Linked DNA regions of Elephas maximus indicus. The protein of the gene in region 1 interacts with the protein of each later gene in a pairwise test. Links are inferred from orthologs where the notes say so. Each region holds a gene or a part of one and is shown in the gene's direction. Other genes may lie near its edges.

The links.
Region 2: the proteins of PSMA1 (region 1) and MID2 interact in binary tests that used the Homo sapiens proteins (3 or more experiments, as listed by UniProt). The two-hybrid records come from large-scale screens. The link is inferred for Elephas maximus indicus from reciprocal best matches to the Homo sapiens genes PSMA1 and MID2.
Region 3: the proteins of PSMA1 (region 1) and TRIM10 interact in binary tests that used the Homo sapiens proteins (3 or more experiments, as listed by UniProt). The two-hybrid records come from large-scale screens. The link is inferred for Elephas maximus indicus from reciprocal best matches to the Homo sapiens genes PSMA1 and TRIM10.
Region 4: the proteins of PSMA1 (region 1) and PNMA2 interact in binary tests that used the Homo sapiens proteins (3 or more experiments, as listed by UniProt). The two-hybrid records come from large-scale screens. The link is inferred for Elephas maximus indicus from reciprocal best matches to the Homo sapiens genes PSMA1 and PNMA2.

What each region holds. Positions count from the first base shown.
Region 1 is NC_064825.1:69,851,428-69,859,226, reverse strand, and holds the start of PSMA1 (proteasome subunit alpha type-1), read left to right. Parts: upstream 1-4,786; 5' UTR 4,787-4,893; coding exon 4,894-4,896; intron 4,897-6,249; coding exon 6,250-6,294; intron 6,295-6,566; coding exon 6,567-6,668; intron 6,669-7,034; coding exon 7,035-7,138; intron 7,139-7,799. UniProt on the Homo sapiens protein: Component of the 20S core proteasome complex involved in the proteolytic degradation of most intracellular proteins. This complex plays numerous essential roles within the cell by associating with different regulatory particles.
Region 2 is NC_064846.1:50,053,861-50,061,245, reverse strand, and holds the start of MID2 (probable E3 ubiquitin-protein ligase MID2), read left to right. Parts: upstream 1-4,383; 5' UTR 4,384-4,589; intron 4,590-4,661; exon of another isoform or gene 4,662-4,735; intron 4,736-4,763; exon of another isoform or gene 4,764-5,193; intron 5,194-7,385. UniProt on the Homo sapiens protein: E3 ubiquitin ligase that plays a role in microtubule stabilization. Mediates the 'Lys-48'-linked polyubiquitination of LRRK2 to drive its localization to microtubules and its proteasomal degradation in neurons.
Region 3 is NC_064819.1:89,831,182-89,838,882, reverse strand, and holds the start of TRIM10 (tripartite motif-containing protein 10), read left to right. Parts: upstream 1-4,690; 5' UTR 4,691-4,879; coding exon 4,880-5,308; intron 5,309-6,728; coding exon 6,729-6,824; intron 6,825-7,456; coding exon 7,457-7,687; intron 7,688-7,701. Other genes in the region: TRIM15 (tripartite motif-containing protein 15), read right to left, coding at 1,844-2,224. UniProt on the Homo sapiens protein: E3 ligase that plays an essential role in the differentiation and survival of terminal erythroid cells. May directly bind to PTEN and promote its ubiquitination, resulting in its proteasomal degradation and activation of hypertrophic signaling.
Region 4 is NC_064840.1:47,008,533-47,015,771, forward strand, and holds the start of PNMA2 (paraneoplastic antigen Ma2), read left to right. Parts: upstream 1-4,226; 5' UTR 4,227-4,296; intron 4,297-6,779; exon of another isoform or gene 6,780-6,782; 5' UTR 6,783-6,907; intron 6,908-7,210; 5' UTR 7,211-7,239. Other genes in the region: DPYSL2 (dihydropyrimidinase-related protein 2), read right to left, coding at 3,465-3,818.

The sequences.
Region 1 (7,799 bases):
CAATATCATCCATAAGAACTAGGCCAGAGGCTGGCTGCGGAAGAGTCCATCAATTGCTCATATTCAAGTTGAAGCTGAAGAAAATTAAAACAAGTCCATGAGAGCCAAAGTATGACCTTGACTATATCCCACCTGATTTAAAAGCTCAGTATTTCTCAAGCTGAAAGAACTGAAGAAAAAATTCAAGCCTCAAGTTGCAGTATTGAAGGATTCTATGGGCAAAATAGGAGCCCTGGTGGCTGCAGTGATTAAGGGCTTGGCTGCCAACTGAAAGGTCGGCAGTTCAAACCCACTCGCTGCTCCACAGGAGAAAAGACCTGGCTACCTGCTTCCTTAAAGACTACTGCCTTGGAAACCCTATGAGGCATTTCTACTCGGTCCTATAGGGTCACTATGAGTTACAATCGACCTGATGGTAACAGGTTTGGTTTTTGGTTGGGTAAAATACTGAACAACACAGGAAGCAACAAAAAAAAAAAAAAAAAGGAAGGAATATCCAGTCACTGTACCAAAAAAAATTGGTCAATGTTCAACCATTTCAGGATGTAGCATATGATCAAAAACTTGAAAGAAGAAGTCCAAGCTGCACCGAAGGAATTGTCGAAAAACAAGGCTCCAGGAATTGACGGAATACCAAGTGAGATGTTTCAACAGCTGGATGCAACGCTGGAAGTGCTCATTCATCTATGCTAAAAAAATTTGGAAGACGGCTACCTGGCCAACCATCTGGAAGAGATCCATATTTGTGCCCACTCCAAAAAAGGTGGATCCATCAGAATGTGGAAATTACAGAAAAATTTCATTAATATCACATGCAAATGTTAATTTTGCTGAAGATTATTCAAAAATGGTTGCAGCAGTACATTGACAGGGAACTGCCAGAAATTCAAGCCAGTTTCAGAAAAGGACTTGAAACAAGGGATATCACTGCTGATGTCAGATGGATCTTGGGTGAAAGTAGAGAATACCAGAAAGATGTTTACCTGTGTTTTATTGCAAAGACATTCATCTGTGTGGACCATAATAAATTATGGATAACATTGCGAAGAATGGAAATTCCAGTACACTTAATTGTGCTCATGCAGAACCTATACACAGACTAACAGGCAATCATTCGAACAGAACAAGGGGATACCGCTTGGTTTAAAATCAGGAAAGGTGTGAGTCAGGTTTGTATACTTTCACCATAATTATTCAATTTGTATGCTGAGCAAATAATCCAAGAAGCTGGACTGTATGAAGAAAAAAAATGGGGCATCAGGATTGGAGGAAGACTCGTTAACAACCTGCATTATGCAAATGACAAAACCTTGCTTGCTGGAAGTGAGAAGGACTTGAAGCACTTACTGATGAAGATCAAAGACTATAGCCTTCAGTACGGATTATACTTCAACATAAAGAAAACGAAAATCTTCACAACTGAACCAATACGCAATATCATAATAAACAGAAAAAGATTGAAGTTGTCAAGGATTTCATTTTACTTGTATCCATTATCAACACCCATGGAAGCAGCAGTCAAGAAATCAAACAACATATTGTACCAGGCAGATCTGCTGCGAAAGATCGCTTTAAAGTGTAAAAAAAAAAAACCAAAGATGTCACTTTGAAAACTAAGGCGGTTCTGATCCAAGCCCTGATATTTTCCATCTCTTCATATCCATGTGAAAGCTGGACAATGAGTAAGAATGACTGAAGAAGAATTGATGCCTTTAAATTATGGTGTTGGCAAACAGTATTGAGTACACCACGGACTGCTGATTAAAAGCTGGCTGCTAAGCAAAAGGTCGGCAGTTTGAATCCACCAGCCACTCCTTGGAAACCCTATGGGGCAGTTCTACTCTGTACTATAGGGTCGCTATGAGTGGGAATCGACTTGACAGCAATGGGTTTATACAGACAAATCTGTTTTGGAAGAATTACAGCCAGAATGCTCCTTAGTAGCGAGGATGACAAGACTTCATCTCACATACTTTGGACATATTATCAGCAGGGACCAGTCCTTGGAGAAGTTCATCATGCTTGGTAGAGGGTTGGCGAAAAAGAGGAAGACCCTCAAGGAGATAGACAGACACAGTGGCTGCAACAACGGGCTGAAACAGCAATGATTGTGAGAATGGCACAGGGCCGGGCAGCGTTCTCTTCTGTTGTACCTAGGGTCGCTATGTGTTGGAACCGACTCGATGACATCTTGAGTACTCAGGAAAGTACTCAAAATGTGTGAATGTACAAGAATTATAGCATTATCTATAACAGCAAAAGTTTGGAAATAATCTACTCACCAGTAGGTAAAGTAAATTACTGCATTTCCACTCGGTGTAATACTATACGACTATTGAAAATAATATAGACATAAAAGATGGCCATAACTTTTTAAGTGTGCTATTTTTTTTTAGTATGGAAGAGCTTAGTATGATCTTGTCTGTGAAAAAAATTGTATGTTTATTATATCTCTGTGTGAGTCATAAGTATACATAGGTAAGTGAAAAATGATTTTCAAAATGTTTCTGTACTGTAAGTCAATTTTAAAATGAGCATTTATTTAATCATGCATTTGATATTATTATCTATCCATTCAGCAAATATTTATTAAGCATGTAGTATATTCTAGGCAAGAAGCCCTGATGGTGCAGTGGTTAAGTGCTTAGCTGCTAACTGAAAGGTCAGTGTTTTGAACCCATCAGTCGTTCCATGGGAGAGAGATGTGGAAGTCCCCTCTCATAAAGATTACAGCCTTGGAAACCCTATAGGCCAGTTTTACTAGATGGCAATGGGTTTTAGGTTTATAAGGTCACTATGAGTCAGGATCAACTTGATGGCACTGGATTTTTGGTATATTCTAGGTATGATGCTGGGTGCTGGGGAAACAATAGAGAAGAAGCTCTCATAAAGCTTATGGTCTAATGGAAACCATACTTTCATCAGGAAAAAGATATTTTCATTTAGGGGAAAAAACTCATCTTTTGGAAAAATGTATATATGCAGCACATATGACAGAGTTAGTGTCATTAATATTTTAAAAAATTCTTGCAAATTGAAAAGAAAAAGACAAACACCTTGAAAAACAGGTAAAGACCATGATGAGAAAGTTGCAAAAAATTACAAATAAGCAAGAAAAAAATGGCTAGCTTCACTACAAATCAAAGAACTATGAGTTAAAATCTTACTTTAATCCATTAAATTAACAGTATTTTTTTTTTTTTAATGACAACTAGTATTGGTGAGTTAAGGAGGAAGGCAATGTCATGCACTATGTCGAGGGTATAGACTGGGAAAACATTTTTGGAGGGCAATTTAGAGCTTTTATTAAAAGCCTTAAAAATGTCTATTTCATTTGATCATACAATTCTATTTTTAGGAACTTATTCTAAAGAAAAGAGCATGGATGTACACAAATATATATATATATATGTATACAGCAACCCATAGATGAGTTGCTTATGGAAGAGAGGGGGAAAATTAAATATTCAACTCTAGGGATTTTGATAAATAAAATAGCGTAATGCAGAATGACTCCGGAGTCATGTTTAACATGTTCCCATGTTAAAAGCCACAATATATAAGTGGAAAAAGTTTTAAAGGAGTGTGTTCAGTGTTATCACATGCTGTAAAATATAATAAATATATGTACATAAAAAGAATTAAAAACGAAACCTCAAATAATATTGAAAATTCACAGTGCTTATTTTTGAGTGGTGGAATTCAGAAGTTTTCATTTTATTTTAGATTTTCTACAATGATCTTGTTTTATTTTCGAAATAAGAAAACATTTAAAAGTATACTGAAATTCTTAACAGCAGTGAGACTGTTTAAAGAAAGGACACTTGAAAGCACTTAAACAAAATGAAGACAAACTTGCTGACCTAGGAAAGGGCATGGGACCTAGGTTCTGACACTAAATTGCTGTGAACTTGAGGGGATCATTTAAATATTCTGAACCTGTTACTTCATCCGTGAACTTCAGAGTGGCCTGTAGGATCCTTAAGGTCCCTTTCAACTCACCTTTCCTGAGTCTCGGGGCTCAACCTTAAGGAAGAAAGTAAAAGTCCCCTTTATCAGTGCACATGTTAGGTATTTCCAAAGCTATTTAACCCACTTCATTTAAAGATTTATCAAAAAACGATCTCAAAAGAGAAAACATCCACGTTTTCTCAGCAGCCTACTCTACCAGGCAACGTGCCTGGTTCTGAGGGCTCAGAAAGACTTTAGTGCCCTCATAGAGTTCAAAGCCTGGTGGGAGAAATCAATACTTAAAATAAAAAGTGATAACTGACAACAGGGCTTGAAAGATGAGTTCTCCAGAGAATAGGGTAGAGTATTCTAAAGAGAAAGAAAAGCCCCGTACATACACAAGACACTAGAGGGAGGCCGTGGCTAACACACACAAAGGGACCATTGTTTTGTGGTCCTTCTGGCAGCCTCATTCTTCTCACAGTCACACAACACCCAATCTCTGTGGAGGCTGAATGAGAGGATCTAGAGGAATTGCAGCAGTCGTTTCCAGAGGTTTCATGTGTATTCGCTCGGGCGGGTGAAACTGGAGGGAATCGGCAACACAGAAAATTTTCACCAAGGCACCAGGAAGGCCCAGGTTGTGAAGGTCGCTTCGCTGCTCTTAGCCGCCCGGGGCACTTTCGATTGAGGGTTTCCCGCCAATCTCGGTTCCTCTGTCTTCTAAGGCCCCGCCCACCCCAGGGAGGCTGCAGGCTTTGAGGGCCCGCACGCATCAGGAACCTATCGATGTCTCTGGAATAGACTGCCCTGCCCTGCCCTGCCCTGCGCCGTAGCACCCAAATCCCGTAGTCTTCTCTGTCGATTGCCGAGCGATAGTTTCGGCCGCGCTGTTTGATCCGCCGTTTTACCAGAGGCCGCCGCAAAGCCCGAGCTGGAACCATGGTACGTTGGGTCCCGTGCCGCTGCAGGGTTGGGGTAGAGGTCCGATATCTTGGGGGATGGCAAGTCGCTTCTCCTGTCACGCTTTGAGCACCCCGGGGTCTCGGGAGCCTCAGCCGACGGGAGAGCCTAGACAGTGATTCAGCATCTCCGGCCAGGCCGGGCGAGGAGCTGTCGGTAGTCGGTGCGGCCTTTACTCCGGGGCGTTTATTTCGTTTCCCGCGGGACTTTGAACACCTCCTACCCGAGTCTGCCCCTCAGAGTCCTTCGCTGGTGTAGATTCCGAGTAATCCAGAGTGGCCCTTTATGCTGTTTGTGGAAGAGAGAGGAGAAAATAGGGATTTAATTTGGAGGCTTTCCAGTACCTCCAGTGAGGACTTGACCCCAGGATTTGGGTTCCAGGACTGCGCCCATTTTCCTGGTAGGCCTGTGTGATTTACTCTCCCCTGCGACTCAGTCAGAAAATGCCCTTTTCAGTCACTTTTCTAATCACCTAGTTCAATAAATGAGAGGGAAAGTGATGGAATCAGGGTTACAGTACTATGTTTGCCTTTCCAGCGCTCAGCCTTCTCACCCCATGGTTATTCTGTCAAGGACTGTGCTGATAAATTTGTCAATACTGTCATTACAGCAGTAATAATTCTGTTATTGCACTTATTTGCATCCACCTCCAACTTCTGAGGACAGTTTTCTGTTTATTCAATATGAATGTATGCACACTACACTGTTTTAAGTGCCGTGATGGTTCAAATATAAATCAGGTATGTCCCTAATCAGAATATAAGGTAAAAAGGGAAGTGTAGGTAAAGAATTATGAGAGTCTGCATTGGAAAGATTTTTGGAGAAAAGATGGAGAAGACTTCAAGGAAGAGACTTTGAGCTAGTTTAAAGAAGAGGAAGGGTATGGGCCATATCTTAGAGTCCAGTATAAGGGGACAGCATACACAAAGATATATGGGGAAGAGAGAAGAGAAAATAGGGATCTGACTTGGACGCTTCCCAAAAAGTTGTATGAACTTTAATAATTGACTGAACCTGTGGGGTTGCCATGAGTTGGAATCAACTTGATAATAGCGGGCTTGGTTTGGCTTGGAAAGGGAGTGCTATGGAGAGTGGTAGAATAGGAAGTTGGGAAACCATGACCCATCCAGATTTACACACTCCCCTCCAAGACAAATGTATGTAAAATTGACTTGCAACTGAGTAGAGTAGTAATCTTACAATAAGGTTGTATTAACAACATTGTGTTTGTGTTGAATGGAAACGTATCTGTGAACATTTCTTAATGATACAGCATATTGAGAATTGGGATTTGTAATGTTCTTAATTAATAAATCTTTTTTCTTTTACTTTCAGTTTCGCAACCAGTATGACAATGATGTCACTGTTTGGAGCCCTCAGGTAAAATAAGTCATGTGCCGTTTCTATGAAGTGGCTTTTGGTGGCTACAATATGTTTAGAAAGTTATGAGATTGTATGCTGTGAGAACATGGAATATAATCATTTTAGATATTTCTGGAACTTAAAATTTTCGTTAAATATTTCCTGGTTTAAAAAAAAAAATCATTTGAGATTTAACAATGCTCACCTGAAGATTGGAAGCTCCACAATAACTTCTACTTTGTAATAGTCTTCTAACATGACTCTAAGATGTGTCGTTTTTTTCTCTTCAGGGCAGGATTCATCAAATTGAGTATGCAATGGAAGCTGTCAAACAAGGTTCAGCCACAGTTGGTCTGAAATCAAAAACCCATGCAGTGTTGGTAGCATTGAAGGTGAATAAAACAATAAATATGTCCTTCTCCTTTAGAAACAGAACTACCAAACATAAGTTTCACTGTATAGACAATAAAGTCATAAATTTTTTTTTCATTGTTGTGGTAAAATATGCACACCAAAACATCTGCCAATACAACAGCTTCCCCATGTACAATTTAGTGACATTGATTACATTGTGCCACCATCATCACTACCCTTTTCTGAAGAATTCCACCACCCTTAATATAAACTCAGTGCCCCCCCAAAACCAAAGTGCCTCCTTTCCCTCTCCTTCCTACCCTTGTAACCATTAATAATCTTTTATTTCTGTATGTTTGCTTATTTCATCATAAACTTGCCTTTTTGTCTTATAATGTCTCTAGAGGGCACAGTCAGAGCTTGCAGCTCATCAGAAAAAAATTCTCCATGTTGATAACCATATTGGTATTTCAATTGCGGGCCTTACTGCTGATGCTAGACTGTTATGGTGAGTATGATTATGAAGAACAAAAGAAATACCCTTTTTAATTCATATTTGACTAGTCTACATTTTAGAAAAGATCTAGGTAAAGTATTTTAGGAAGTTGTTTGCCAGAATGTTTATAAATTAAAATTGTGGGCTTAGTGGATTTGGGCTCAGTTACTAACTGTTCCATTGCTTGGTCCCTGTGTGGTAACTAATAGGATAAACCGTATTAACACTGTTGAGAAAAAGTTGAATAACATGATACTTGTTGATTCAATGTATATTGTTTGAGTCCGTGTCTGAGAAGAGCTAGACGCTTGTCTGGTTTCTAAGGATGAGCTGAACCACCTTGCTTCCTTTCATAAGTATTTACCATATTAGACATTTATTTTTTGCAAACCTCAACCCTGGATACTGTGGAGTATACAGAGGTGAATCATACGTGAATCTTGATTTCAAAGAACTTAAAATCTAGTTGTATATAACGAGCCTAATAGAATACAAAGTAGAAAGAGGAGAGTTTTCAAAAAGTAACATGTAAATTTCTGTGAAAGTCTGGAGGAAATAGAGATTATTTCTCGTTGAGAGGCAATATGTAAGTGAAGAGCTGGGGCTCTGAAATCACATAAATTGAGATCAGTTCCTACCTTCACCACTTTGAGACGGGGCTAGTTACTTACAA
Region 2 (7,385 bases), on another chromosome or scaffold:
GGTGTTGAAACCAACATGACGGCACCTACCAACTACTGAACAAAAAGTGTTAACCTGACTGTCCCAAAAAATCCTTTGCCTTCGAGCTGATTCTGACTCATAGCTACCCTACAAGACAGAGTAGAACTGCCTCATAGGGTTTTCAAGGCTCTAATCTTTATGGAAGTAGACCACCACATCTTTCTCCCAGTGTAGTTGGTGGGTTCCGACCACCCACATTTTGGTTAGCAGCTGAGCTTTTAACCGTGGAGCCACCAGGCCGGTGACACAGAAGGAAAACATGGAGGATGTGGTGCCATGGAAACCAGACTCCAGGTGACCTGGTGCTGCTGGTTAGGAATGTATGGTCCACGGTAAGGTTTAGGGTTGGGCCTAAATACTAATTAAAGCTGCAGGAAAATATTTTACCAATGTAATACAGATAGCAAACGTACATTTTTATTGTAACAGACACAACAATTCAGACAAATTACAAAGTCGATAAAAGCATTACTAAATTGAGACTGTGTTGGCATCTCCTGTCTGAAGGGGAGATGGGAGGGTAGAGAGGGTTAGAAACTGGCAAACCGGTCATGAAAGGAGAGGCTGGAAGGAGGGAGCGGGCTGACTCATTAGGGGGAGAGTAAATGGGAGTATGTCCTAAGGTGTATATAAGCTTATATGTGACAGACTGACTTGATTTGTAAACTTTCACTTAAAGCACAATAAAAATTATATTTAAAAAAATTAGTAAAATATAGGTCAAAGGAGAATAAGAAGTACCAGAAGCTTGCTACCTCTCCATTCTGGGAACATATTTATTTTGAATCACTCTCTTAGGCAGCCTACATGGCCCATTCACAACTAGTTTTAAAACAATGTGCTATTGATGACTCCATGCCAAAAATGCTTTTCTTCTCACCATCCTGTTAAGAGCTTCTCAGTTAGAAAAGCCCTTGGTCATCCTCTTTGGATTTCAGACAACTAGCTGCTTCTTTTGAGAGCCGTCTGAAGGTTCCCTTTTGCAGAAGCAAGGATTCTCTTGTGCAACAAAATCACCCTTCTGTGATTTTTTCCCTTCTGAAACAGACTGGTCTCTGTGCTTCTCTCTGTAGAAAGTATCTGGAGCCGTCCCCCCACCCCCGACATTCTTAGCTGGAAAAAGTAGCCCATGAGCTGTCCCTTTCATACTGTAGGCCTGTGGTGTGGCAAGTCGGCCTCAGATTAATTCAATTAAACACCTCAAGCCGAAACTGTCAAAAGTCTTTTTTTCATGGGCCAGGTTTGTTAATACGATTAACATGTTGTATACAAAGGTAACCATTAAATAATTATAAACAAATAATTTCATCACATAATCCCAGCCGATTTTACATTGCCTGCCAGATACAAAACATTTACTTTAATAAATTTAGTCGGTAATTTACATAAAACATCTGAAAGTGAGGATATTTTTCAAAGCAGCTGCTTATGTGATGTGACTAGTAAAATCTCCCTACTCTCCACCCCTACCCACACACACTATTAGTCATTCTTTTGACTTAATATATTGAAGGCCTCTGTTAAAATTAAAATACCATCTACTAAGGGGGAAACAATGCAGCTATTAAGGTGTTAGGTTGAATTAGTTGACTGAATTCCTTAATTATTTAGTAAGGTCCTGTGTGAAAGGGATACGGAAGCAGGTAAATTTAGGGGAGGGAAAGGAAAGTTTCAAAGAATGGATTGCTGCCTGGGGACGACAGGGCGGGTAAGGCATCCAGGATAGATCTGTGGAAAGCCAGGGGCTATCTTGAAAGCACTGGAAGCTCAGGTCGAGGCCAGACTGCTAACAAGTGAGGGATAGGATGCTTTCTAAAAGACGATAAAGATCATTAGAAGGGAATCTCTCTACTCCCAGTTCTAGCTTTGTTCATGGGTGTTCATGATGAAAGCAGTTACTTCTTCCCATTTTAGAAAATTCTCCAGCTTTCTGTGGGAATCATACCCAGTGAGCTTCAATAAGAATTCTCAGAATTCTGACTCAAGTTTGGGTTCAACTTCTGTCTTGGAGAAGTACCTTTTTCTGATTTTTAAAAAATTAAAAAGCAATGCATGAAGAAATTCTCATTATAGAATATTCAAATAATTACAAAATATATAGAATTAAAACCAAAAGTCCCCTTCCACACGCATTCCAATTCTAGGGTCGCACCATTTACAGTATGCTGCCAGGTTCTTTTCTTTTTTTAAATAATTTATTTTATTTTTGTAGTTGTCGTTGAAAATATACACAGCAAAACACAGACCAACTCAACAATCTCTCCATGTACAATTCAGGGGCACTTATTTTCTTCAGGTTGTGCAAAGATTCTTACCCTTCTTTTCCAAGTTATTCCTCCATCATTGACATAAACTCACTGTCCCCTAAGCTTCCTATCTACCGGGTTATTTTCTATGTATTTTCCTGCATATGTATACATATATATGTGTGTGTGTATATATATATATTTTTAACATGGAGTCCGTGAGTGGTTCAAAAGGTTAGGTGCCTGACTGATAACAGAAAGTTTGGTGGTTCAAACCCACTGAGAGGTACCTCAGAAGAAAGGCCTGATGACTTGCTTCCAAAAGGTCACAGCCTTGAAAACCCTACAGAGCACCAGTAAAACTGAGTACAGAGTAACACATGGGGACATTATGAGTCCAAATGGACTCGATGGCAACTGGTTTGGTTTTGACTTTCTTATTTTACATGAATAGAATAACCTGTATTTGTTGTTCTGTATACTTCATTGTTTTTTAAAAAAAATTTTGAAAAGATAATACATGCACATCATAAAAATTTCAAACAATATAAAAGAGCATATACAATGTGAAGTATGTCACCCTCCTGTGCTTAACCCCCAGGCAAGCAATATAATCCATTTCTTAGAGTCTGTGCATATACAAGCAGATAGGGACAGATCCTCCCCCCTTTTTCACACAAGTGGTAGCAAACCATACACAGCTTTGCACCTTGCTTTTTTTCATTTAACAATATTTCATACATATTATAAATATATGTGTATAAATATATGTGTATGGAGCCCTGGAGGCACAGTGGTCAAAAGATCAGCTGCTAATGAAAAAGGTCAGCAGTTCAAATCCACTAGCCATCCCTTGAAAACCCTCTGGGGCAGTTCTACTCTGTCCTATAGGGTCACTACGAGTAGGAATCAAGTCAAGGGCAACTGTTTTTCTTTTTTTTTAATAAATCAAAATCGGCTCTAGGACAATTTTTTTTCTTTTTTGAATCTTTATGAGCAATGATCACCAGTTCTTTTCTCCCGCGGACCGGCTGGGTGGGTTCGCACTGAAAACCTTTGGGTTAGCAGCATTGCGCCACCAGGGCTCCATATACGAGGAAAGAAAAAAAAAAGAATCTTCGTATTATAATATATATATTGTAATATATATGTAATTATAATATATATATTGTAATATATATGTAATAATATAAACATAACCTTCTTCAGAAACGACAATATTTATTTATCCATCCCCTGTTAGGCTGCATCAGCTGACTTCTGACTTACTAACTTTTACTTCTCTTAGGGCTGGACTTTCATCAGGAGGATAGCTGGCTGTGATTTTCCCCTTGGTTTCCACCTTAGTGTTCTCTAGAACATTGTTTAACAGAGGTATTGGCTGATTACTATTGGTCCCTGACGGGATACACCCAGAGCTACCTTAACTTCTCTGGACTTGTTCCCATCCATGTACAGTAGTGGGAGGTCTATGTGTGTGGGGGTTGTTTCCTTCCATTTTCTCTCCCCCCCTTCTCATTCTTTTGTTCCTTCTTTTTTTTTTCTTTGTCATGTTAAGAGTCTCCTCTTCCTTTCCTCTCCTATCCATCCGGTGAGTGGGGGCAGCATCACTGAACCAACGACAGGTCAGCGGAGACTCTGACTGCAGACCAATGGGGTACTCCCAGGTTCCAGATGGACCAATCAGCTTATTAGGGACATCAAATACCTAGATAGCTGGCATCTGCCCCATTGTCCTCTGAGTAACGACCCTCTTGTGTTGATGGTCAAAGATTTGAAGGTGCAAAAGAAACTTTTTTTTTTCTTTTTCCTTTGGTGGCTTTAATCCATCTCCACAACTTCTGCCCAAGGCCAATAAAACACAGCCATTCTCCCTTTGTAAAAAGAAAGAGGGGTTGGGTTTCCTTCAATTGTCTGCTCCTTTCTGTCTCCTCCACTATTTTTGTTTTATGTACTTTGTAGTTAACTTTACATAGAGCAGCTTCATCCGTGGACCTGTGCGGTGGACCCCATACACTTTCTTCTCATTGCCCATTGCAACAGCCTTTTTGTTCTAACCTGGGGGGTGCTTGTGGGGCAGGGCGGGGGAGAGGGGGGGTGGTGGCGGGTGGGAGAAGAGTTTGGCTGTTGACTTCCTTTGGCATTCCTCACACATTCTGCTCTCTCTCTGTCTCTCTCTCTCCCTCTCACACACAGACAGACAGACAGACAGACACACACCACACACCATACACACACACACACACGCCCGCCCGGGCCCCTCTCGGTGTGTCTTCCTTCAAGATGACAGGGCGCTGGAGAAAAGGCCGCTGGAATCAGCTGGTAGGTACAGTAGTAACCCGAACCCCACCTACCCGCCGCCTTTGCTCGCTCAGGTTTCACCGGTCACTCCTACCTGGGGAGAAAACATATAAATGTGCCTCCAGAGGAGGGGCTGGGGGAGAAGGGAGCGGCGAAGGCGGCGGAAGGTGAGCCTGGGAAGGTGGCCGGGGCCCTGCTTGGTCCTCCCTCGGGGCGTTAGCCCCAGCCCTGTTTGCCCCCACCCACTCCCCTTTTCGAAGGGATTGCCTTTCTCTCTCTCTCTCTGCGGCGGCGGAAATGACAGTGTGGTGCTGCCGTGGTGTCATGGTGCTGCTCCTGGACTGAGAAGCGAAAACTCTTTAAGTTTGGCTCGAGAGATTCAGCCAAGGCAGCGTTGCAGCCGCCGTGCTGTCCCCTGCCGGGCGCGCGGGCAGGCGGATCCCGGCTGCTGCGCGGCGGCGGCGGCCAAAGCGAAGGCGGTGAAGGCGGGCGGCGGCCTAGAGCAGCGGCGGCGGCGGCCCGGGAGCTAGCGCCGGAGCCCGAGCGAGCGCTGCCGAGAGAAGCGAGCGGCCGGCGCCCTCCGTCGCGCCGCCTAGGAGATGGCTGGCACCCGGGAACGCTCTGGGTAAAACGTGCCCCCTAGCCACCGTCCCTGGGGCTGAGCGCCGCCGCCGGCGCAGGGCTCGGCCCGGGCTCCGGCCGCCCCTCAGGTGCCGCCGTGGCCGGGTCGGGCCAAGGGCTCTGGGGCTCGGTGGGGCGGGCTGATCGGGCCGAGAGGCTCGAGGCGGCGGCGGCTCCGGCCCAGCCCTGCCTCCTGGTTGCGACACTGGGACCCGGGCTCCTGCCACTGCCCTCCTGGGACGGGAGTTTGCACTCGGGTGCGGGGCGGGGGCGGCCGAGGCCTCCCGCGCAGCCCGGCTGAGTCGGCTCGGACAGTGGAGCGGCTTCCCCGGCGCCCGGGCGGGAGTCTGGGAAAGGGCACCGCCGCCTTCCCACGCTCCCGCTGCCGGCAGCCTCCTCCGCTCGGGCGGCGCCCCTTGGACGGCTGGCTGCCTGGCGGTGGCTGCCGCAGCAGCCGGGGATGCTGCGGACACCCTGCCGGCGGGAAGGCCAGGCGAAACTTAATCCTTTTTCTGCCAGGGGAGCGAGCAAGCGTCTAGTCTCCGTATGGATGGTTCATTCTTTATGGCCTAGCTGTGAGACCAGGTCTTTAGGGGAGAAGGAAAACTTACATATGTCCACAGGACAGGCTGAGACTGAATTGGAGAGAGGTGGGGTTCTTCCATTCCTGTCTCGTAAGAACTAATAACAGCGGAGTAGATTTACAGAAACATTATTTGTGATGATAAGGTTTAGGCTACTTAGCTTAGCACTTCGTGAGCGGCACATTAGTTTTCGGAGGCATTTCTTCCCAGAGCAGGAAATTGGGATCCTGGGGTCGCTTGGTTCTTCATTTTCCCTCTTCTACACTCCCCTACCTTCCTTCGAGCTCAGTCAGTCACCTTCTTACGTTGTCACACACCAATTTGTCCACCCAAATCTCTCAAATCCAGCGCCCCCCACCCCAGCCTTTCCACATCACCCTGTGCACTCAAGTAACCTCCCAGCCGTGCAGCCTCTTGTTTCTCAACCACTTTGTCTTTTTAAGGATCTCTGACGTGAGGGGTGGATGGTAATAGTTGTGTGCCTCTGAGGTTAAAATAAGAGTTGTTGTTAGTAGTCACTTAGTAGGTTCCCACTCATGGTGACCCCATGCATGTTAGAGTAGAACTATGCTCCATAGAGTTATCAAGGCTGTGACCTTTTGGAAGCAGATGGGCAGGCCTGGAACAGTCAAGTTTCTAGCTACTAGTTGAGAGCTTAACCGTTTGCGCCACCCAGTTGTTGTGGTGGTGTGCTGGGTACTCGATTCCAACTCATAGCCACCCCATGTGACAGAGTAAAACTACCCCATAGGGTTTTTCTAGGCTGTAATCTTTATGGGAGCAGATCATCAGGTCGTTCTCCCTCAGAGCCGCTGGGTGGGTTCGAACCACTAACCTTTCAGCTAGTGGCCTAGGGCTTAATGGTTTCACTACCAGGACTCCCAGAGGGGCCCTTAAAAAGGAATATATTGAAACTGTACATAAACAAGTGCTGTGTGTGGGTTGATTCTTTGGGTTCTCAAATTGAGCCATAAGGGCTGCCTTTAACCCCATTCTGTTCCCTCCCAGAACTGTAGTCAGTTCTCTGGCAATGTTCCAATAATAGTAGGAAGAATGCTGAGTGGGGAGCCCCCCTCTCTTTTCTTCTGTTTCGGGAGCAGTGTTGGGCGGTCCCAGCTGGTTAGCCCCCCCATCCCCTTTACATCGCCTCTCCTTGCACCGAGGGGGAACAGTCTTTGCCATTTTTATATAGATTGCTACCCAATCAATTGACTTAATACAGATATATAAAGTAAATTAGATTTCTCCTGATTACTCCACACAATTTGATTTATGTAGTTGAAATACAGGTCTAGGAGCCAAGAAGATCAGAGAGTTCATCCCAAATCTGATGTTGCATTGGCTTTTATGGCATCCCTGTGACCTTTCTTTCATAGTTGGTGCACTTATGTAAAAGGCATAATATTGTGTACAGAGTATTGTGAGTCTTGGCTGGGTCTTTTGAAGATGAAAGGGTTCTATAAACACTCAGCATTGTACTTTTCGAAGAAAGTACTCCATTTACCTTTTATTGGGATAGTGGCTAGACTGGGTATAAGTAGGAACCCCAGTTTACTGGAAACCATACCTTGGCATTATTAACGCCCTCTGGGAGACACACCTACTGTACTTA
Region 3 (7,701 bases), on another chromosome or scaffold:
GGAAGAAAGGCCTCGTCCTGGTGATCTGCTTCTATAAATATTACAGCCATGAAACAGTTCTACTCTGTAACACATGAGGTAGCCATGAGTTGGAATTAATGGGAACATGTTTGGTTTTGAGTACCAAGTTCCAGGCACACTGTTAGGTGCTGGGGGATTTGAAGTGAAAAAGGCCCAGTCCTTGTCCCTAAAGAGATCATCATCTGAGGAAGGAGTCAATCATAAGTGGTTAAAATACAAAAAGACGAATGCAATCATAGAGGTGAGCACTCAGTGAGATGGGAGGCAGAGGAGGTGACAATTCTGCCTGTAGGGCTGAGGGAAGGTTTTAGAAAGCAGAAAGCACGTAAAGGGGACCTGCGAAGATAAATTTGAAGTTGGATAAGAGAGGGAGAGAAGAGCATTCTAGGAGGAAGGAACTACATACGGAAAGCACTAGAAGCAAGAAAGAGTCCCACAGGTAAGTAAGGAAACAGCAAGTACAGCTCAGTGTGGCTGGGCACGTGGTGCCTTGGGGAGGGCAGCTAAGAGATGAGACTGCAAAGGAAAGCAGTAACCCAAGTGCGAAGAGCTTGAATGCCTTGTTAAAGATTTTGGGCCTTCTTTGGACATTACGAATCCACGGAAGGATTTTAAACAGGGGAGTGACAGGACTAGCTGGAAGCTCTGCCTCACAGCAGATTGGAGGGTGCTTGGAAAGGCTGAGAAGGGAGACAGAGAGCACATTAGAGATTATACAAAGTCTGGGTGAGGGATGCTGTGGGCCTGGATTTATCAGTGGTTGGTTTGTGATGGACTACTAACCTTAAAGGTTAGTGGTTCGAATCTGCCCAGTGGCACTATGAAAGAAAGGCCTGGTATTCTGCTCCCATAAAGATCACAGCCAAGAAAACCCTATGGAGCAGTTCTATTCTGTAACACATGGGGTCGCCACGAGTTGGAATCAACTCAATGACAACAAGCTTTTTTTTTTTTTGTGGCGATAAGGCAAAGTTAAAGATTCAAGAGAGAAACATTAAGAGATGTTTCTAAGGAAACCACTTCAAGACCTGGTGACTGGATAACAAGAGAAAGATCTGAGAGGCAAAGAGAAATGAATAATGTCCCAAGACCAGATGGGAAATTCTTGTAATACTGGGCTGCTGCCGTGCCTCTCTTTCTCTCAAAGATGAGCAGTGATTACAGGTTACCCTTCATCTTCCCTCACTTTCCTCTGAGCCCCAGTGGTTTGGGTAAATCCTGTATCTCAGGTGAATGTGGGAAGACCACGTGCATCCTGCTCATAGCCTGCAGAGGCTTGTGTTCTGCACTGGACTCTCTTTCCATAGTGAGTGCAGTCAGGGCTGAAATTCTTTGCGTCACTGTGGGGCCCACAGGAAAGTGGCTGAATCAGCTCCATCACGATGGGAGTCCTCTCAGGGCTGGGACTGAATTTCTCCCTAAGACCATGAACTCCCACATGTCCAAGTGGAACCATGTCCCCCCATCAGCCTGGGAGTTTCTTGAGTGTCCCTACAGTCTAGGGGGGAGCCTGGGTAGTGTGTGCCATTTGCAATCAGCTACCAACCTAAAGGTTGGAGGTTCAAACCCATTCAGCAGCTCTGTAGGTGAATGGTCTGGCGATCTGCTTTCATAAAGATCACAGCTGGGAAAACCCTATGGACAGTTCTGCTCTGTAACACATGGGGTTTCTATGAGCTGGGGGCCGACTCCACAGCAGCTAATAAAAATATATCTACAGTCTCGGGATTCTCTTCACCCCGATCCCCACCCGGTTCCCTGCACCCCCCGGCAGGACACTGACCTGCACCAAACATGTCCGAGGTAAAGTCACACTGCTTACCCGGTAGGGTTGAATGGCCTCGTCAAGGAGCCCCACAGAGTGGGCCTGGTGGGAGGGACCCTCCCTGCAGAACACACAGAGGAACTCCGCATCGTTCTCACAGAAGAAATAAATCTTCTCGCCATGCTCCTCACAGTAGGTTTCTCCCAGAGGGCCCAGGGGCAAAGGGACCATGAGGTTCTCTGGCTGCTCCTTCTGCTGGCAGAGGGGGCAGAGCAGAACCCTGCTGGAGGGGTGGGCCCCCATCTGGAAGGGCACAGGGAGGCAGGGCCGGCAGAAGGTGTGTCCACAGGTGGCAGTCACTGCATCCTTCAGGGGCCCTGTGCAGGCAGGACAGGTGGCCCCCTCTCGGAGTGTCTGCAGGGAGGGGGTTGAGGACATCACAGTTCCTTGCCTAGCCCGTCCCTTCAGGCCTCTGGCTCCTTCCCCACAGGAATTCACTTTCCCTGAAATTGACTCACTTTTAAATGCATCTCCAAAGGAAAGGAATAAGAGGCCAAGAGAGAAAGGCAGGAACGTCAGGACGGGAAAGCACCTGGCTCTACCTCTTGTGCCTTCTCAAGGCCCACCCTTCCTGGGCCACCACCCATCAGCTAAGTGGGTCCAAATTCCAGGGTATTTAGAATTACCCAGCATTACCAATGGCAGCCAAGGGAGCCTGATTTCCGTGCAGTTTTATAATGGCTCCTTCCGGTCCCAGGGGTGGGGAGCAAAGCATGACGTGAGGCCACAAGGAGAAGAGGTTTCCTGGAATCCCTCCCTTTACCACAGTTGGGTGGGAAGGATTAAGGAGTGGACAGTTCCTGTCAGATTGAGCAGGTGAGAGCCATAAACTTCTGGCAATGAGGCGTGCCCACGGCAGCAAAGTCCAAGCTGCAGTAGGTGTGACTGACTTCCAGAGACTCTGGGGGTACTCAGAGTTGCTCACTGGATGCTCTACTCTGCCCTTCTTTCCTTGCCTCATCTCATCTCCCCAGGCGCCACTGTCCTCACAAGAGTTTGGGTCACATTGGACTTCGATTTTATCTAAACTGCCGGTAGACAAAGGCAAGGAACCATAATGCAATAGATTCATGCTAATAAAGTTTAGAAGACTCAATTAGTCAAAAGACAAACAGATTCAACCACGTTTATCTAGGGCTTAGTGTTTTCATATTACTATAGGGTTGCTATGAGTTGGAATTGACTTGATGGCAGTGGGTTTGTTTTTTTATATACAAGTCTGACAGCAACCTTGGAGCAGGTATCATTACCTTCATTTTACAGAGAAAGACATGTAAACTGAAAGGTAAAGTGATGTTTCCAAGGCCACAGAACTAGAAAGCACCAAGGCTGGAGACAATCCAAATCTCCTTGCTTCAATCCCTGTGCTGGCATCACACTCCAAGCCACGACAATGGTCTTCATCCACTCGCCACTTCCAGCACGGTTCTTCACTCACCTGCCACCCCGGATCCATGGAGAAAAACATACCTCCTTCCAGTTCCCCACTAAATGATCAGCCTGGCACATCGTTTTCTCTCCCTTTTCATTCCAACTACTGTGGTGATAATAGTTAACATACTTGGCTGCTAAGTGAAAGGCTGGAGGTTCAAGTCCACCCAGAGGCATCTCTGAAGAAAGGCCTGGCAATCGACTTTCAAAAAAATCAGCCATTGAAAACCTTATGGAGCACAGTTCTACCCTGACACACATGGGGACATCATGAGCTGGGGTCAACTTGATGGTAACAGGGACGACACTCTACCTACAGTCTTGCCAAGAGGGCAGTTCTGGGACTGTGCTGTTTAAAACGTGAGCCACCAGCCACATGTGGCTACTGAGCGTTGAAAGGTGGGGAGACCAATGTGAGATGTGCTGTAAGCGTAAAATACACCCTGGATTTCAAAAACTTAGCACAAATGAAAAAGAATGTAAAAACTCATTAATAATTTTCATGCTGATTACCTGTTGAAATGATAATATTTTGGATATATTGGCCTAAGCAAAATAATTATTAAAATTAATTTCACCTGTTTCTTTTTAAAATGTGGCCACTTGAACATTTTAAATTGCATATCTGGCTCACATTATCTTTCTACTGGACAGCACTGGAGATGCACAGACTTGCCTGAAAATTACTGGCACCCACCTTCCTGCTCTGTAACCTTGGGCAAGTTAAATAACCTCGCTGAGCCTCAGCTTCCTCATTTATAAAACGGAGATCCTAATAGCATCTACTTTATAGAGCTGGCAGGAGGGACAAGTAAGATCATCTGATTAAGTTCATTATATCGGTGTCACAGTCATCATAAATACATGCTGTTACTATTTTTCTTCTTTCACCTTCTCCACCCAGGATACATCTCAACCTCATTTAGAGACTGTGATAGGCCAGTTGGGGCATCACCGTTGAAGTTGCCTGGCACTAGGACCTTATCTGAGTGCCCATACTGACGAGAGAGCCCTGCGCTGGCTGATACCCCAATCTCCCTCAAGACAGCTGGTCATATTGCAGGGAGGCTGGGTGGCATCACCACTCCGGGACCCATTCTCCCTTCTCCCTGCTGTCCCCCAAAAGAAGAAATATCTCTTTCAACAGCAGACAGTTGAGATATCGCCACTTCCCTGCTACCGTGAGTGTCTCTAACGAAAAGGACCAGTGAGCCCCAGGCCATGGGCCCAGGTCTATGAGGCCACCCTGGAAAGCTGTGACCCCTTCTTCCTCACCTTTCTCTGCTGTTTTTCTATCTTCTACTGTTGGCGGGTGTTTGTCTCTTCCTTTAAAAGACCAGGACCAAACAACACCAGCTGCAAGGGAGGCAAATGGGAGCTTTGTCCTTGTGGGTGGCCTTCCCTGTGACCATACCCATGTGTGTGGCTGTGTGGGTGCTGGTGCGTATTTGAGATGCACCTGTGTCTGGCCATGTGCACAGGCAGCTGTGTGAGTGTGTGGTGTGAGTCCTCGCTGCTTTTCCAGCCCTCCTCCCTCAGCCAAGCAGGGAGGGCGACCTTGAGGATCAAGTTTGAATCCTGACTCCGCATGGCAGCACCAACATGGCGGCAGCCGCCTCCGTCACCAGCCTGGTCGATGAGGTCAACTGCCCCATCTGCCAAGGCACCCTGAGGGAGCCAGTCACCATCGACTGTGGCCACAATTTCTGCCGCTGCTGCCTCACCCGCTACTGCGAGATCCCAGGCCAGGACCCGGAGGAGCCCCCCACCTGCCCGCTCTGCAAGGAGCCCTTCCGCCCAGGGGGCTTCCGGCCCAACTGGCAGCTGGCCAGCGTGGTGGACAATATTGAACGCCTCAAGATGGTGTCCTCGCCCGGCTTGGCAGAGGAGGACGCCTGCCAGGAGCACGGGGAGAAGATCTACTTCTTCTGCGAGGATGACGAGATGCATCTGTGCGTGATGTGCCGGGAGGCCGGGGAGCACCGGGCCCACACCGTGCGCTTCCTGGAGGACGCTGCGGGGCCATACAGGGTAGGAAGGAGCCGAGCCGGGGCTTCCCAGGGTGGGCCTTCTGCAATTGGGCTGAACTAAGAGAATCAGGGCAGATTTGTGGATTATTTGGGCCACCCTGAAGCCAGTTTCTTTCTCCCTATTTAAATGATCACCCAGGCAATAAGCCCAGTCATGGACAATGGTGTGTTTATGTTTTGTGTTTTTGAGTGTGTTCTGTTGTTTACTTTTGGCCAACACATAATGGAAGCTCAACAAGTACTTGTTGGGAGTCTCTGGGTGGTGGATTAAGCACTGGGCTACTAACAGATGGAACCCACCCAGAGGTACCTCTGAAGAAAGGCCTGGTGATCTGCTTCCAAAAGATCACAGCCTTTAAAACCCTATGGAACACAGTTCTACTCTGAAACACAGGGAGTTGCCATGAATTGGAATCCACACCATGGCAACTGGTTTGGTTGTTCTTTAAGTACTTGAATGAACGAATGAACACAATATGAATGTGCGTTTTGGTGATGTATCAGGCAGATGTGTCTGAGTGTGTCTGGGTTTGTTTTCAGGGAATGGTTGTATGAATGATGTGTATATGTGTTAATGTTTGCATGTTTATGAGTGTGTACAGCATGTTAGGGGTCTGGGTATGTGTGTATTTGAGTGTGTAAGTGTAATTGAGTGCTCGTTTTCATGAATAAATTATTGTTTACATGTGTAGGTTGGGTAAATATATGTGGTGTATAATTTTATCTGTTATTAAATAAGTATGTACTTTTTTATTTGCGTGTTGTGTTTTAGTACAAGTGGGCATCTGGGTGTGTGTGGATGTGTTAAATAGTTAATTAGCATTTGAGAGTTCTAGATGTATTTTGAAAGTACATTTATGTGTATGTACCTGGCCATTTATGTTCCTAACTCTACTGTAGACCAAACAATTTTTTAAAGCAATTCATTGATTGTTTTTATATTACTCAAGTATCTTCCCTTCAGAATCATACAGATAAATGATTCCATTCACAAGGGAGGGTTGTTATGTGGACCTGTTTCATATGTGGTCATATGAGAAACTTGGGATAATTTTGAGATGGTTATCACATGTTCAAAAGCTCAAGACAGGTCTCAGATAACCACTTACCAAAGGCAAACAAAAACTAGGGTGTTTAACCTGGAGAAAGGAAAGCTCAAGTGGGAAAACTGAGTCATAGCCTCTGCTGGCACATGACAAAGAGGAAGAGCCCTGGTCAAAATTCTTGAAGGACAAAGCAAGAGGAACAAGACCTAAAGAGAGTATACTATCAAGGATGATTAAGGCCCAGGCATTGTCAGCTAAGGGAGTGGCTGTCTTCCTTGGGCCATTTTCTTCTTGGAGACAGAGGGTTGAATGAAATGATACCCCTTAACAAATGACTTTTTTCCATCTTAAATATTTTATGCTCCTTATCCCCAGGAACAAATACAGAAATGTCTTGTGTGCCTAAGGAAAGAGAGAGAGGAGATTCAAGGGATCCAGTCAAGAGAAAACCAAAGGATACAAGTCCTCCTTGTAAGTCGCCACTCCTTCTCTGGACCACTTTCCTTGACTCCATCTCTTCCCCAGGGCCCATTGTCTCCCTGAAAACTGAGGCAAAAGAGTATATAGGGCTTTGAGTCATTCTCAGTTTGAATCCTGACTCTGACACTAACTAGGCATGTAACTTCAAGCAACTCTCTAACTTCAGTTTGCTTATCTGTAAAATGGAGATTAAAAGTGGTCACTGCATTGAATTGCTGTAAGGATTAAATGAGGATATACCTGTAAAGTAGCTTAGCTCTGTGCGTATAGTGCGTACTTCATAAAAGGTGTCCCCACCACCTCCCCCTACCCCTTCTCTACGTCCTATCCCCTTAGAAGTTCTAGAAGATGGTGCTGAGTCAATGCCAGACAGTCTGTCTCCCAGAAATGGGATGGTAGGGGGAAAGGAAAACAGTCAGCAGTTCCAAATCTATCTGGGACCAGGGGAGGACTCTTATTCTACCATTGCCCCTGGGGGATGTGAATCTGGGCCAGGAGAGAGAGGGGAGTGAATTAAGGAAAAAGAAGAAAAAGGAAGAGGAGGAAAACAAAAAAGAAGACGATGAGGAGGAGGGAGAGGAGGGTAACTAACTTCCTTCTGGGGTCTTCTTCTCCCTCCTCAGACTCAAGTGGCCACCAAGAGACAAAAGGTAGTTTCCGAGTTTGCACATCTGAGCCAGTTCCTGGAGGAACAACAGAACATCCTCTTAGCCCAGCTGGAGAGGCTGGACGGGGACATCTTGAAGCAACGAGAAGAGTTTGATTTTCTGGTCACTGATGAAATCTGCCGGTTCAGTACTCTGATTGCAGAGCTGGAGGAGAAGAATGAGAGGTCATCAAGGGAACTCCTGACGGTGAGACCTAAACC
Region 4 (7,239 bases), on another chromosome or scaffold:
CATAACTAATAAGGTTTTGCTGGTATAGGGCAGCGGTGGGAATGAACAGCAAGAGACCTCAGTTCTAGTGCTGGGGCTGTCACCTCAGTGCAATGGAATGAAGCACTGTTTTTCTGGACATCACTTTCTTCACCTCCAAAATGAGATGATTAAACAATCATTAGGTTGTTTCGAGATCTGACATTCAATGGTAGTGTATATTCAAATCTATGATCAGTTCTGACTTTCCCTTCTTTCTCAAGGAGGTAGTAGGGGCACTTGCACTAAAGGTCCCTTAAGAAATCCTGGCCTGTTCTTGTTGGGGCTGGGAAAACTGTCTACGCTAACATTGACTTCCATGGCACAGAGCCATAAGTATGTGTACTATGCAACATTCAGGATATCATGACCAGATGTCAATGACAACAGGTTCAATGGCAGCACTTCCCCTCTCTATCCTTGGGCTACAAGGGGGAAAGACGGAAGAGGCTGTTTAGCTAGTGGGAATTTTCTTCGACTTAGAGCTCAGGTGGGGAAGTCTCTCATCCCAAATGTAACCCTATAGGACAGCGTATAACTGCCCCATAGGGTTTCCAAGGAGCATCTGGTAAATTCAAACTGCCCGGCCTTTTGGTTAGCAGCTGTAGCTCTTAACCACTATGCCACCAGGGTTTCCTCCCTTCCCAAAGCCTTGCTAAATGAACAGCAGGACCCCTAGAAGGGCTCATGGGCAAAGCCTCTTCTGAACCATGCCTTAGCAACACCTATAAATACAGATTCAGGGGAGGACAAAGGGCATTAATCAGGCACCCTGGGATTCATTCCCTCTAGTTCTCCCCCATTTCTCTCTGTGCCAGGCCTTCCTACAGAAATGCACTAAAATGCTGGGAGTCACCCTACTCATTAGTTGAAAACTAAGTGATGACTAGTCAATTTGGTCAAAATGGTGGACCCAGCTGTGCTTTCAGAAATCACTATATTATTGTGTGCTGTCAAATCGGTTCCAACCCCTAGTAACCCTATAGGACAGAGTAGAACTGCCCCATAGGGTTTGCTAAGCTGAAACCTTTACAGGAGCAGATTGCCAGGTCTTTTCTCCCATGGAGCAGCTAGTGGGTTCCAACTGCCGACCTTTCAGTTAACAGCTGAATGCTTAACCATTGTGCCACCAGGGCTCCTTGAAATCACCAGTTATATCCATGTACATACATGCACACCAAATGCCTTTTTCCTCTTGTACAGACACGAAATATTGAACACTGTAAGCACCAATCCAGGTAAATGCTCCTGATCTGAATGAAAATAATCCCACAGGAGCAGTCTTTATGCTATAAGTCTAGACTGAAGATGAAAACTCTGGGAGGGCTACAGGTAGGCCAAGACAGAATCTCCCTACTACAAATATTCAGGCAACTGGAGCGGGATTTGATTTGAGGTTTGCTGAGGCTAAAAATGCCCTGGTTTTGGTTGGATGTTATCACTTCAAATCTCTCCCTCCATGTACCATAGGTATACAATTTAGAATTTCTATTAAATTCAGCCAGTATTCAAACAAGTAGCTCTTGTGATCAAACATCTAAGCTTCTAAATGGACAGGAGAAAGAGATGTGTTATTTAACTCATTGCAACTTTGCCTTTCAGACTTGAGTTTTAATTTGCTGTTTTTTTTATGATGGGGTAGCCACTCTTAACACCCCCCAAAAGCCATTTTATAAATGATCTCTTCCTTATTCTCCATAATATACTTCTGCTCCCTCTAGGATATTAGAATTGCCAGGACAACTTGCTGTACATGAGGTTACTCACATAACGATAACGCTATATAAGCTTGGCTCTCACCCAATGCATTCATCTAGGAAAGTATTTCACTTTCAGCTTTTAGTCTAGGTTACACAATTAGAAACTTTTGCTTCAATTGTCTTGTCACTTGCAACAAAGAGAATTTTCTGGATTTGGGTTCTTCTGGTTGACTCATGATAAAATATGTGTATGAGATACTTTCCTATATGAAAACATCAGAGAACAGAGCTGGGGGGAGTGTATAAATTATGAAAATGATCGCAAATGCTTTAACTTCGTTAGACTTGTTCCTATAAAAGTCAAAAGCTGCAAAACTCAATGCCACATCAGGAAACAGGAGCACCATTCTAGGGCCATTACCACCTACTCTATGTTGTTCTCTAAAATGCTTACACTGTAAATGCTTGTTGAACCCCACAATGAACAGGAACAGGCCACTCCCAACCACTCTGGAAGCCCCGTGAGGAAAAGAAACTGCCTTTAAGTTTTTATTGCTAACCTTCCTGCCCCAAAATCAAGGCACACAATAGGTATTCAATAATCATTAATTAACGTCTCATCTTCACAGAAAGCTAAACCTAACGGGTGCAGGAGAAACAGCAAACAAGGGATGAAACATTTTGCACTGTAGAGTATCTGCTGAGAAATTGAGGCTGTGAGGAAAAAATGTGCGAGTATGAAGGTCACCCAGTTAAAGAAAAAGCTGGGGTGTGAAAAAGCTACTGTACTTAAAATGTGCACTGTTCATATTTGTCAGATAATGGCCAACATTTTCTAAAATCAAGGTTTACCAAATTGGACTTCGTTTGACTCATTTACAGTACAAAAGGGCTAATCTTCTTTGACATGCTATTCAAAATGTGAGGGTTTCTTTCTTCCTCCTTTTTTTACCCTTTGAACATAATCCACTTAGTTCCCATTCCCAGAGCACCTCCCAAATAGCGGCAGAGGGAGAGCTCTGGGAAGCCCTTGTTGAGGCACTTAGCGGAACTTTGTTCTCCACATGGGCTATTGAGAAGCGTCTCGGTTTCCTCGGGTGACTCCACATTCTCCCTCACTCTTCTCACGCTGCGACCAGGAGTTAAGGGTGGTGAGATTCTCCTAGGCGAGCCGAAGAGGCGCTGACCATGGTGCTGGCCTCCGATCTCGGTACCCGAGAGCGACAGGCGCCCAAGAAGGTGCAGCCAGAGAGGGCGCAGAGCGGGCAGGGAGCGGTGGTCGGAGCCCCGACCCCTCCCGAACCCGAGGGAACTCACGGGCCTTCACGCGAACCCCTCCTCCGCACGCTCCGAGCTGCATCAAAAAAGGGTGGGGCACCCAGCCACAGCTGCAATCGGAAGCCGCCCGGGAGGATTTAAGAAGAATGAAACCGCGGCCCACTCCCCTCCGCGCAACCCCGGGCCGGGAATCAGCCAGTCCTTTACCCCCCCCCATCCCCCACCTCCCAGATCCAGAGAGGTGCGGGCAGCCTTTGTGGGCGTACAGCCGCCCACCGACGAGCCTCTCCGCACCCTGGGCGGAGAAGGGGCAGGTTGGGTGGGGTATGTGTGCATATGCAGAGAGGCAACATTAAAGAAGGAGCAGGAAAGAGGGTACCCTTGGATTCTCGGGTCTCCACGGAGCCGGGAGGGAGAGGCAACTCCCACACGCCCCGTCCTTCATCTCCTCCGCCCTCCCATACCAACCTGGTCGTTGATGTTCTGCAGGGCTTCCTTGCCCGAGGCCCGACGGATCTCCACCTTCCGGCTCGATTCAACAGATGGCTCCCCGCCGGCACGCCGGCCCTGCCGGGAGTACGGCGGCTGCGGGTCGGGGCCCAAGTGGGCGACGTCCCGCTGCTGAGCCACAACCTGCCCCGAGCCCCGGCCCACCGACAGCGAGTCGAAATCGATGGTTTTGTTCTCCGAGGACCCTTCCACCGGGCAGAACATGCCACAGAATTTCTGTCGGGGCTTGGGGCTGCCTGAGCCCAGCTTTTTAAAAAAGGCAGGGACCTCTTCGTCCTCTGCCTGCTTCCCGGATTGCTTCCTCTCAGCCATGGCGCGATGGCTTGGGGAAGGGTCCTCTTCCTCCGTCTGTCTGTCTGTCTGCCAGTCCCTAAGTCTCCCACTATCTGTGCAAAAATCCCCCGCTGCTGCCACGGATGTCTCTTTCTGCCTAAGGCAAGGTGTACAGAAAGGAAGGAGGGCTTTGGAGCGGGCTGTCTACCCCTCCCAGCCCCTCCCCCTGGCCCTGCTTTCTCCCCCTCCCTGCCCACGCCCCCAGCCTCCGCGCAAGCTCCGGCGAGCGGCGAAGTTAGGCCGGGGAGGGCGGCCGCTGCGGCTGCGGGAGCCGAGAGGCAGCCTGTTCCCTGCAGCTGCGCTAGGAGGGGGGGCGCGGGGCGGGGCGCCGAGGAGGGGAGGGGAGGGGAGGGGCGGGCCACGCCATCTCGAGCCCCACGCTCCGGAAGTGAAGCGGCCAGACCACCGGCTAACGGTTGCCGAGTGCGGGGCCTGATGACCGCTCTCCGGCGCTAGGGTAAGTAGAGGGGCTGGGTATGCGTAGGCGACGACCCGAAAACGCAGCCCCTGGTCCCCTGCCCTCCTCTCCCCCACCTGCCTGGCCCAGGCGCCTCTCCCTCTCACCGCATTGCGGAGATGGAACCGCGGGCTGGGGGCTCCGCGGGTTGGGATCCCTCCCCTTTCCCGGGGTATTTGCTGATGGATGGGGAAAAGGAGACAATCTGGCAGAAGTCAGGACAACTGGGGGGCGTCAGTGGGAATGGGGAATGGCAGGCGGTGCGGAGAATAGGGTGCCATCCGAGGCGCGGAAAACCAAAGCCCCAGTCACCCACGGGCCTTGGTGGGCTGCGTGGAGCAAGGATGAAGCGAGAACATTCTTGCTTGGTGTATCCCCAGGGGTGGGGGGTGCACAACGTGTTCAGAAGAAATGCAGAGGGGCGTAGCAAATGAGGAGGTATAAAGAGAGACTTAAGCCTGTGGTTTATGGGAGTTTTAGCAAGGAGTGCAGTCTGCGGATTCCAGTGCAGCCACTTGTAAAGACAGAGAGGGTGTAGACCCGCTACATTGCCTGAGGGCCCCATGTAATATTTCTGCGCCCCTGCGCCAAGAAGGGCCAAGGAGAGTGTCTTGATTTGATATCTTCCACCGCCCCTCTCCAAAGGGGAAAATACGTAGAATAAAGCCCACTCCCTAAATCTCCAGGCCTTCCTCACGCCCGAGCACCCCGCCTAGTCTCCCCCGCCCCTGTTGCGCACTGCGCCAGAGCAGGGCCAGACGCCACGTGCTTGTGGTGTTAGTGTGTGCGCATCCGCTGGGGACTAGGAGGCAGGGTGCGCACTGTGATAGAATGCAGAGAATTGCGTTTGGGGACAAGAGGGGCAACTGTGTGGAGGTGTGGTGTTTCTATGGGGGTGTTTCAGCCGTGACCACCGGGTCGGTAGGCATTCAGGTGTCATTTTGATTTGTGTCAGTAACGCCGTCGATGCTTACTCTTCTTGTCCTCTTCTTACCGTATATCAATCTCTGCTTCTGATCGAGTGCAGCCCCCCTCTTTTCCTACAGTGGCAAAATTTTGCGAAAATGATGCCCACCCATCCGAGGCTCAGAAGGGAGATCTGGCCTTGCTCTGTGACCAGGGCGGGTTTGGGCTAAGAGGCGATTTCCCGCAGCGTCACCACGCCAGGCATTACGGGCCAAGGATTCAGTACCGTTGTCAACCCTTGTCCCTGGAAGGATTAAATGTGGATCCCCCACCCCTATTGTCAGTGATGGTTTGGTGAATGGGGTTAAATTTGGAGGACGACTAGTCACAGTGTGAAGATGAGCCCATCATAGGTGGGAATGAACCTCAAAATGAGGAGGGGAGAATGAAGAAGAAGAATACACATATGGAGCAGGCGAGAGACCCCCATAGGCAGGTATTCCGGATTTAGCATCAGATAGACTTCTTTTGAACTAAATGCTTTCACGTGAATTACGTTATTACCTACTCACGGCAGCCCTGTTAGATAAATGGGACAGGTTTATTGTCACTATTTTCCAGGTTAGGAAACTGTGATTTAAAAGGATTGAGGGACCTTGGCCAGGGTGACCTATCTAGTTAACTGATGCAACAGTTCCACTGGGGGTCTTCCATCTGAAAATCTGTTCCTTTTCCAGTTTATCCTATTGGTTCTGTTGATGTGAGAAAATATAAGGTTTTCACTTTTTTTTTTTTCCATATCTAAGTACTTCCATCCATGGCCCTATTGGATACCAAGGGTGTTTCACTTGCTTTTTTTATTTGAAAGTCACATTGCAGGTAGGAGCTCACGTCCTTGGGGCTCCTGGGGATAGGAGTAAAATAGCATTTTGTTTTCCTGGCCTTTTGGCACTTATGGTGCCTTCAGCACCTCCTAGAAGGACTCAGGAGATGTACCTGCAACAGGAGCAGCTGCTGTTCTAGCTACAGGTTGGTATCATAGCATATGGACCTTCCTCAGATTGATGGAGATTTTCATGCCAAGGGGAGAATGATTGTAGCACCCTAACGTGTACTCCAGCAACGCTGACTGGGAGGCATCACTCTTCCGACTTTCTATTCCCAGTCTCCACAGGCTTTCCAGGACAAGCTCAGTAGATAGGCTTCTTTTTGCCTTGAATGACCCATTTAAATTCAAATGCTAGGAGAAAAAAGTGTTGTGATAGTAACCATTCATAACAAAAGAAATGCCAAAGACTAACCAGACGTAGCAAAAAAGAATTAGTCCATGATTCCAAGTTTAGTGTATTTGGCCCTAAGATTTTCTTTTTCTAAATGCTATCTATATATTAAATTATTTTTAAATGTTTGACCGATTCCTAACTGGGTATTTTTTAATCAAAGAAAGGAAGCAGTTCAATAGCTGTTTAGTAGAGCTAGCTAAATCGTGAAAGATTGTCATATTTTTAATAAGTGTAGAAACAGTCTTTATGACTGCATATTATTGAGCTATAAAACCACATGATTTTTATGTGTAGCAGGACATCTTGACTTGGCTGGAGCTAAGACTCAGAGACACCATCGTGTGGAGTTGGGTGACATCATCCTATACTAGAAGCTGAATAAGCTGTTCACTCTCAAGGAACATTCTGGAACATATAAACAGGTATTTAGCCACATCTTTTGATTTCATCCCTTATGTGGGAAAAATCTTGGATCTTGTCCAAAAGTGGGGTTTAGACATTGATTGACATGTCTGATGAGCATATGCTGGGGAAGCTGTATTTCAGAGGGTCCCCAAGAGAAAATAAAAAAGTCACTATAATCAAAGAAGAATTCTTGACAGAGTGGGCTAGACACAGGTACAATGTAAGACAAAACCCCTGGTCTACCCCCACTTCCTTCCCAAACTAGAATATGTATGCTTCCTGGTATGCTTCAGTGGTAAAACTGAAAATTGTTTCACTAGGAGTCCAAGTCACGCTACTGTGAGACTTC